Caenorhabditis elegans: one gene and its partner. The protein of the gene in region 1 interacts with the protein of each later gene in a biochemical or structural test. Each region holds a gene or a part of one and is shown in the gene's direction. Other genes may lie near its edges.

Region 1 (6,140 bases):
TTACTTTGCATTTTTCTGTTTATGTCAATGCAAACCTATGTATACAAAAATGGTAGCGAACAAAAATTGGCCGCTATTACAGTAGTCTACTGCCAAAAGTGCAAGCGGAGACAGAAGATCACGTGAGCCGGCGATGGTGAGGAGGGGGGCTCGTCCCCACATATTCATTCGTAGTCCTGATGAATGCGTGGATTTCAAATGCGATCAGAATATTTCCGCGGAGACTCACGTAGTAGTACAGCCTACATACTCAGGAAGGTTATTCCCACTTTTTAGAATGATCAATTTTAAAGTTTTCAAGTTCGGTATAATCCTGTTCGTTTCTCTTTTCCGATTTCCTCATGTGACATGTTTGCTGATATTATTGGTTTTTTAAAACTAACCTGAAAATATTATTTTCCACTGGAAAACTAGTTTTTATAGACTTTTTTTGTGAATTGACATAAATTTAATAGATATTTATATAGGTATTCTTCCACTTACAAGGAAAGGAAGTCAATCTAGTCCCGGACTTTAAATCGAGACGTATGTCATTTGAAAGCTTATGTTTAGAATAGATCACCACAAAAATTTCAGCGCCGGAACTCAACTCTGAACCCCTGAAATCGCCATCCAAAAAGCTTCCACATTGTTTGTTAGACCCCAAAAACCCCCAAAAACAATTTCTAATGGCTCAGAACCCCTTTTAAGGTCATTTACTTGACATAGAAATCAGCGAAAAAATGCACTGGAGCACTTTCAGATAGCGATTTCAGGGATTCAGTGTTGAGTTCCGCCGCTGAAATTTTTGTGGTGATCTATTCTATTCTAAACATAAGCTTTCAAATGACATACGTCTCGATTTAAAGTCCGGGAATAGATTTACTTCCTTTCCTTGTTAGATGAAAATCATATAGCGATACGATTATCTCCTGAAATTTTTCACAAGGCTATGACAAAATTATGAAGAAATTCTATAACTATTATTCACTCATTTTAAGTTTTGAAATTTTTTTATAGAAAACATATGTATAAGTTTGAATTTACCACGCAAACCAGATCGGCACTTAATCAGTGTCGGTTGCCACGCCTGACGCTAATTGGTTGATTTAATGATGTTGAAAGTGCCCAATAGTTATATGTTCCATTTTAAAACAACAAATTTTATAACAAAATACTCTTATGGTTCGAGTCCTACTGAAACTTTGTATGTCATTTGTCATTACGGTGACCGTGTTGTAAGTTAAGAGTATGATATATTTTTCTCGAGAATATGTGGAACAAAAATATTAAAAGTTTGTTCTTTTATTTTTAAGCTTTTTTAATGCTGTTTTTTTTCAAAATTAGAGAGCTCTGATCACGCGTTCACAAGATAATTTCCGCGAGTTATCTGATTTCAAACGAACCCAATTACAAAATCTCAATGTGCATATACCGCTAATTTGCATCTATTCATTACATTTTGAATACTTTCGGATTTCCATACATCACCCATCCCATCCATCCCGAAAATTCATGATTCATTTTTTGTCTTGTCCCGTCCGCTTTCCCACCTTTTCATCCCACATTTCACGTGATTATTCAGGAGAAAACTTGGAGTAACATGGGAAAAGTCGATCTATCAGACACAAGTTGGTCTCTACCCTGCCATCCGGTTGTAATCGGTTCACATTTTCGGAGCGTTTTGTTCCAAACAGTTTAGTTTTAATAGTTTCAGCAAGGTGGCAGAAATGCTGGAAACATAGACTGAAATTGTATTTTAATAGTTTGTTTACCAATGTCTTATACTACAAAAAATTGTACTATTCCCTCCTCTTTTTCCTCCTTCATCCAGCTCTGTTCTTCTGACCAAGTCAGTTTCTTTGCTCTTTGAATCAGCCTCACTTTTCTTGACTCGACCAGTCCGACTAAAATCAAAACCTTTCAGAACAATGGAAAGCCAGCAGTTGATGGCATGTGCCATCCTGGTAATTGTGCTGGTAGGGATTTTTGGAAATTCACTTTCGTTTATTTTGTTCAGCAGACCGCATATGCGATCTTCATCAGTGAGTTTTTTAAAATGTTAACTAAAATTTTCTACTCTGAAATTTGCATTTACCAAAAAATTAGAATTTGCTAAAAAAATACATTCAAATAATCAATCTTCAATTTTTTCAGGTAAATGTACTTCTATGTGCTTTATCATTCTTCGACTTTTCACTATTAACCCTTTCAATTCCAATATTCGTCATCCCAAATCTCGATTTATGGGCTAACGATTTATCACTTTCAACATATATGGCATATATTCTCAAGCTCATCTATCCAATCAACTTGATGATGCAGACGTGTTCCGTTTATATAATGGTGATGATAACTCTCGAACGTTGGGTTGCCGTGTGTCGACCTTTACAAGTTAGAGTCTGGTGCACACCTCGAAAATCTCGAAACGCGATTCTCGTCATCATCGTGTCTGCTTTCTTGTACAATTTCGTTCGGTTTTTCGAATATCGATTTGTAGTGACGGAAAGTGGAGCGCTATACGAAAAATGGCTGAGAGATCCAGGAAAGCATAGGTAGGGTTTCAGAAATATTTTGAAAAAAAGAAAGTAACAATGTTTCAGGTGGTACTACGTTGGCTACTACACAATTCTTTACATTGTCACACATTTTTTGGTGCCATTTTCTGTTATGGCATTTGCAAATGGGCATGTGATAGTTGCAATGTGCAAACTTAGCAAAACACGGCAGATGCTCACAAGACAGGTATTTTGAATTAAAATGTTTAAAAATATAAAGACATTCCAAATTTCTTAAATTGTCATTCTAAAGTGTTGTGGTAAATTGATTATTTTTAAATTTCAAAGTTTAATTCAAGCCAAAACTTTTTGAACTGAATATTGGAACACAATTACAGCCCTCTGAAAATTAAAAAAAAATTGATTTTTGTTCATGGGTTGATATATGCTATAGAAATGCTATAGAAAAAATTATAACAGAAAAATACAGTTAACAAATTATTTAAATTTGGATTACCGTCCATATTTTTGGTGTTCTAGAATTGTTTTCTAGTGAAAAAAAAATGTTATTGCGCACAGTTTTATATGCAAGAACCAAAATAAAATTCGAATTCCCCCGGAAGGTCATGTAAATTCAGTCTCGTTCAAATATGTTAAGCTATGTATTTCAAATTGAAATAACATATTTTGAATCAAAAATTGTTGTGTAAGTTTCCTGATTATTGAAAGTTTAACTACTCGTTCTACATTTCTGAATTGTTTCCTTCCACATACTTGAATAACACTTGATTTTGCTATTTTTGCTGAAGGTAATAAATATGAAAAACTTTATACTTCAAGCTTTAGAAGAAAATTTTAAGAAAAGATTTATTCAATTTTTTTTTCAAATTGTTAATAATATAGCAACAACGGGAACAGTCGACGACAGTAATGCTACTTATCGTCACATTTGTTTTCGCAATTTGCAACACTCTTCCTTTCCTTCTCAACGTCTCAGAGAGCATTTTCCCGACATTATTCCAAGACGAGGTTTGAATAAGTCATTGTGATTGCGTGTTTTGTCCACTTCTCTCGTTTTGTTACTACAAAAAGCCCTGGTTCTCGTGATTCGATGTCAACAAACTCAATCTTAAAATTGTTGCAGAGCACGCGGGGACTGGCATATTGGCTCAATGATCTATCTAATCTTCTAGTGGTTCTTAACTCGGGTACAACTTTCATTATCTATTTCACTTTCTCAGAGAAGTACAGGCAAACTTTAGTTTTTATTCTCAAGTAAGTAATTTACACTTCTGATTTCAAAAAATTGAAGACTACAATAAGTCTTTGTAGGAATGGATGTTGTGCAACCGTCAGCGACTACAACAACTATACAGCCATGTCTAGAACGGCTTCGATGAGAATTTCAAGCGAGACGGGCGGTCAAATTCAACGACAGGGATCTAAAATGAGCAATAGCAGGTATGCAATGAGCCAGGCCATTCAAATTGTTAAAATAAATCAATTTTAGTTATAGAAAGCCAATTCTAAACGCGCATCTGTCGGAGGTAAAAATGAATCAAAAAATATTATTTTAAAAACGAAATAAATAACAATTTCTCACTAATATGTGCACGAGCTTATAAAATTCTATGTTCCGTCCAAAAACTTGCATCATGAAAACTAATTTTCAGCCGAATGCGCTAACTTCTCTCCTCTCTGTCTCGCATGATTTGAGAATTAACTCAAATTAATTTTTAAAATTTTCAGCCGCTCATCGGACGTTCTTCTCAAACCAATTTACATGCAGAAAAGAAGCGAACGCTTCTCGTCGGAGTACAACGAACGAACTTGCAAGTTAGTTTTTTTTCTGATTTCGAAAAATGTTCAGAAATATAATTAAACAGATACCTTTTTTTTGGGTTAGCAAAATTTCGATAATGGTTTTCATTTATTTTTTATTTACACGAATCTGAACCTGAAACGTCAATGGAGAATTATCTCCAGTTGAAAATAATTTCAGAAATTAAAAAAAATTGAATTAAAGGAAAATGGCGGAAAAAATACTGTAATACAACTCCCAACAAAATTTTTTCCAGACACCTTGCTCCTTTCGAAGAGCACAAATTACCAAAATTGCCGAGCGAGAAGAGGAAGAAGAAACTACATAAGTGAGTATTTTTTGAAATTCTGATTATAAATTTTTTAATTTTCAAGAAATTTTGCTGTTTTTTCTTAATCTCAGTAAAAATACTTTAGCTTTCTGGTTTTAAAATCTGTGAAATTTTCAAAAATAAAGTTTCAATGATAAAATACTTTTAAAAAAATTTAAAAATTAAAAAAGAATTGCCAAATAATGATACATTTAAATGATTGGTGATTAGAAAAAAATGGCGTTAAAGTTTTGTATCACCTTACGGTTTTGTCAAAGCTGTAAGCTGATCTTTTCATTCTATTTCTCTCCCGAAACTCATGGGAACCTTTTTTTTTTGAAATGTGATGTTACTGTATAAAATATGAGTGACGTCACACTTGCCAGAAATGTTCTGAAAGATTGAAGAGATAATCTGAATAGTCGAGATACAAATACAAACGTTTTAAATGAAAATTTCCAGAATGTCGGCTGTAGAACATCGTGGGATGCCTGAAATCACTATCACTTTTAGTGAGGACCTTCCAGATGGAGAACCCGATTCTCCATGTCAACCATGCTAGATTTTATCATTTTCTTTTCACTTGTAGCTTTTTTGTTTGTCTCTTTATTATTATTATCGCCAATTTCTTCCTATGCACCGATCTTTCCAAGCTTTCTTCCATACGAACAATTCCAAATTCCAAACACGGGTTGCCTCATTTGTTCTTTTTTTCTTCGTTTGTCTTTTGCCTCATCTTCTCCACCAGACAAGCATAAATGTGTATATATTTGTTGGCGGTGAGAATAAAAAGTTGAAGCCAATGCCCCCTCAAATGTACATGAAAGTGCGTGGTAGGGAACAAATGACTCCAGGGAGCAATGAATTTTCGAGTGTCACACAAAAGCAGCGGACATTCAATGTGTGGCGGGTTGGCTCCTTTTTTTTTTCTTTTGCAGAGAGTTGCCAATTTGAAAATTAAAAATATTTTTGAGATTAAGATTTACATTTACATGCACAGGTAATACTTCAAAACATCACTTTTTACAAGTTCAAAACCGGTCTATGGCGGCTACTATTTTGCGATTTCAACTCATTGTACAGTTGCGGCATTTTTAAATTTAAACTGTGTAATTGTAGAATTCACACCATATCAATATTTTTTCAAATAATATTTTCAATAAGTCACTACAAAAAAATTAGATGTAGTTGAGTACTCTGGAGCTGGTAAATTTTGATCTAAATTTTTTTCGAGCAATCAGCAATACTCCCAAAGCTTGCAAAATCGCGCCGAAATCTGACTTTTGCAGACTTTCAATGATTTTACGAATTTTTGAGATTCGGAAAACAACATTCTGAAAAATTTTTGTGAAGCTTTATTGTTTTGAAAACAAATCTGAAAGTTCGTTATTTTAACTCAATCTAAAAATTTCAGATTTACGAAGTCGGTAAAATGTGGTTCAGAATTTTTCACTAAAGCTCAATTTTTCGGGAGAGTCTATTTAGGCTTCTAGGTATTATCTGGAGCTTCGGAAATATTTTTATTTGATCT
Region 2 (2,949 bases), on another chromosome or scaffold:
GCCACTAATTATCTATCGTCGCCCGCAAAAATTGCAACTTTCTTGAAGATTAGCCCCATCAAAACGTATTTCCTTAACATCCTCATGTTTTTAGTACCTTTCACTCCATATTTGACTGGGTAAGTGATGTCAATTTCCTTTGCTTTCCATCCCTTGTACATAGTTCGTTTGATGACCTGAAATTGCAATACTGAAGATGATAATGATTGATTTGATGCGTCATGAGAAATTCCAACAAGACAAACAAAGGAGGAGTTTGGAGCCAGTTTCAGATAATTGCAAAACTATAAATGCGCTAGCTCTCCTCTGGTTTTTTCATTTGTATGATCTTCTTCCTTGTTTCCCCTTTATGTACCAACCTCCATATCAACCATTGAAAGAACTGGCTGCTCCAAGATGAGCCGACTGGCAAGTTCGGTGTCTGGCTCAAGCATGTTAGACTCAGGTCCAATTGGGCATCTCAACGACATGACGATTTGTTCACGGAAAGGGTCAATTGGTGGGTTGGTGACCTGTAATCAAGTGCTCAATCTGTGTTCACTCTACCAGGAACTTTTCTCACTTTTTAATACATATTTTCATGAACAATTTTTTCTAATTCTTTCACTCGGACGTCATAGTTAAACAAGCTTAGAAATGAAAATACATTTCTCCAAAAAAAGTCGTCGTTCCTCAAAATTACGATTTTGGGCAGTCTTAAGTTTGTTTTTCTAATCAACTACATGGATAGAATAGGAGGAGTATGCGAATGAAGTCAAAACAATTTAATGGCCTCCGACTACTTTTCTAGATTTGAACTTCGAAGAACCGTTGGTTACTCTCTTTACTCATTTTTTCCCATTCTGCTTATGAACCCACCTGGGCGAAGAGTTGCTGGAAATAACTGAACAACAGCGGGCTGTAATCAGACAGACAAGCCAACGCAGCATCATTCCCCATTGACCCGAGAGCTTCCTTCTTCTCCTTGATCATTGGAACTAAGAGCAAGCTGAAAGTGTCATGGGTATAGGCATACAAGGCCAGACGACGGTCAGAGTCTAGATGAACATCCTTTTTCTTCATAAGACCAGGGTTCACCTGCTCCAAATGAAGACGATTAAGGTATTCATTGGTGACGGCACCGTGAGAGAGCTAAAAATTAGTTAAAATTTGTCACAATTCAATTTTTTTTTTGTCTTTTACTACTAACCACATCATCCTTGCGAATCAAGTCCAAGTAGATTCTCGATGCGGAAAGTTGCTTATGAGGTCTTGACAAAGCAATTCTTGTCTTAAGGTCCTCATCGAGCTCGATCTTTTTGAGATGTGTGTCCACAAGGAGCATGCGTCCGGGTTTGAGACGATCCTGTAAAGTACATTGATTATAATTAAAATAACTTATTTATTGCAATTCATTTAATTCCTCTGGAGACTTTTGCGCGTGCTTCACTAGTCTGATCTTTCACGTCTTCACTCAAAATCACCATTTCTACATGATGAGATGTTATTGCGCAACTGCTCTCGCCCAACGCTCTTTGACGCTAGTTCACATTGTAATCCGATCTGTACGAGCTAATGAGCACGCATCACCCACTTTCTCTACATTTCTATCTGCTCTTCGTTTTACTATCTCTTGCCAAAAACGATCTCGTGTGAAAAAGCTCTCCATTTTCAGGTACACACCCGCACACAGAGCTTTCGTCTGACTCATTGTCAGTCGTTGCCAAACCAATTGTCGCAAACCATGCAAGTTTCTGGAATCCTATCTGCTCTTTTCCTCGTCCTTCTCGCCGTCATTGTAAGTCCCTTCCAGTTTGTGCAACCAAAGCGGATACTCCCCATTCCCACTAGTCGGGATCAGTTATTACGTGGCCAACTAGCTTATTTAAAGGGTACTACTGTCGCCCAGCCAGCTGTCAACGACAACACTCTTGGAATTTTCGAAGCTTCAGCAATGGCAAAACGTCTTCGTGGAGAACCCATTCGTTTTGGCAAACGCTCCCCGCGCGAGCCCATTCGGTGAGTATGAGAGATAATTGATGATATGAAGTATATCAAGTAGTTTAAAAGTTTCCGAATTTTTTTCAAAATTTGGAAAAACAACATAAATCAAGCTTAAAACCCAAACACATATTTGGAAACGTCATGTATTCTTACTAGAATCACTTCTTACAAAAATGTTTAATACACTTGCAGATCGATAGAATTTATTTTATTATTTTCAGTTTCGGAAAACGATTCAATCCGCTGCCAGATTACGACTTCCAATAACTCCATCCTATCAATGATTCAATGCACGGTGAACCCCACTACTCAGCCAACATCATATTAGATATTCCAACATTTTCTTCCCATTCTCGTCCTATATTTTGATCCGTACTTTCAATGCAACAACATTTTTTAAACTATGTTTCCTATAACTTCGAATAAAGTGGTTGGGTTCCGCATGGAATAATAGCCCATCTGTTAACCAAGTCTTACGTTTTCTTCGCGAACAAAGGAAACGACTACTGGCACTGAATTTCAGATTTTAGCCAGATTAGGTCAGAAAACGAGGCACACTATTTTCAAGATCAAAATTTTAAAATTCAGTCTTGCTAGTTCTTCAAAGAATTGTTTCGGAAATGTCAATGAGTGCTCATAATTAAACATGTGGAGTGACTTTGGAAGGTGCTAGAATTTCCAAGAAGCTTTGATTTATTAGTTTTCGTTTTAATTTCAAAACACTGTTCAATCTTGAGAACAAGATTAGTTCAACCTACTTAATCATTTCTCGCGTTCTGACAAGTGACGTTTTTGACAAAAAATAATGTTTAATTATTCAAAAACAGAAAATCCCCCCTCCTTAAAGCTCAGTTCATTAATCAGCTTCGCTTCACAAATTCGACAAGGTGGCATCTCAACCAACAGGCACCAATCGGATTCTGTCATTTCTTTCTTTTTTGAGAACAAATGTCTATCTACGTTTTG

What was found.
Region 2: of the proteins of frpr-18 (region 1) and flp-2, one has a biochemical effect on the other in vitro, tested with the Caenorhabditis elegans proteins (3 studies listed by BioGRID, with this or other methods).

Annotation. Positions count from the first base shown.
Region 1 is NC_003283.11:6,868,400-6,874,539, forward strand, and holds frpr-18 (FMRFamide peptide receptor frpr-18), read left to right. Parts: upstream 1-1,899; 5' UTR 1,900-1,910; coding exon 1,911-2,024; intron 2,025-2,136; coding exon 2,137-2,534; intron 2,535-2,582; coding exon 2,583-2,724; intron 2,725-3,380; coding exon 3,381-3,506; intron 3,507-3,621; coding exon 3,622-3,752; intron 3,753-3,809; coding exon 3,810-3,938; intron 3,939-3,987; coding exon of another isoform or gene 3,988-4,024; intron 4,025-4,226; coding exon 4,227-4,313; intron 4,314-4,555; coding exon 4,556-4,627; intron 4,628-5,071; coding exon 5,072-5,171; 3' UTR 5,172-5,410; downstream 5,411-6,140. UniProt on the Caenorhabditis elegans protein: G-protein coupled receptor for flp-2 neuropeptides. May act through the G(q) alpha type of G proteins.
Region 2 is NC_003284.9:10,093,930-10,096,878, reverse strand, and holds flp-2 (SPREPIRF-amide), read left to right. Parts: upstream 1-1,654; 5' UTR 1,655-1,723; coding exon 1,724-1,998; intron 1,999-2,204; coding exon 2,205-2,250; 3' UTR 2,251-2,449; downstream 2,450-2,949. Other genes in the region: W07E11.1 (glutamate synthase (NADH)), read right to left, coding at 98-176, 360-512, 859-1,131, 1,190-1,345.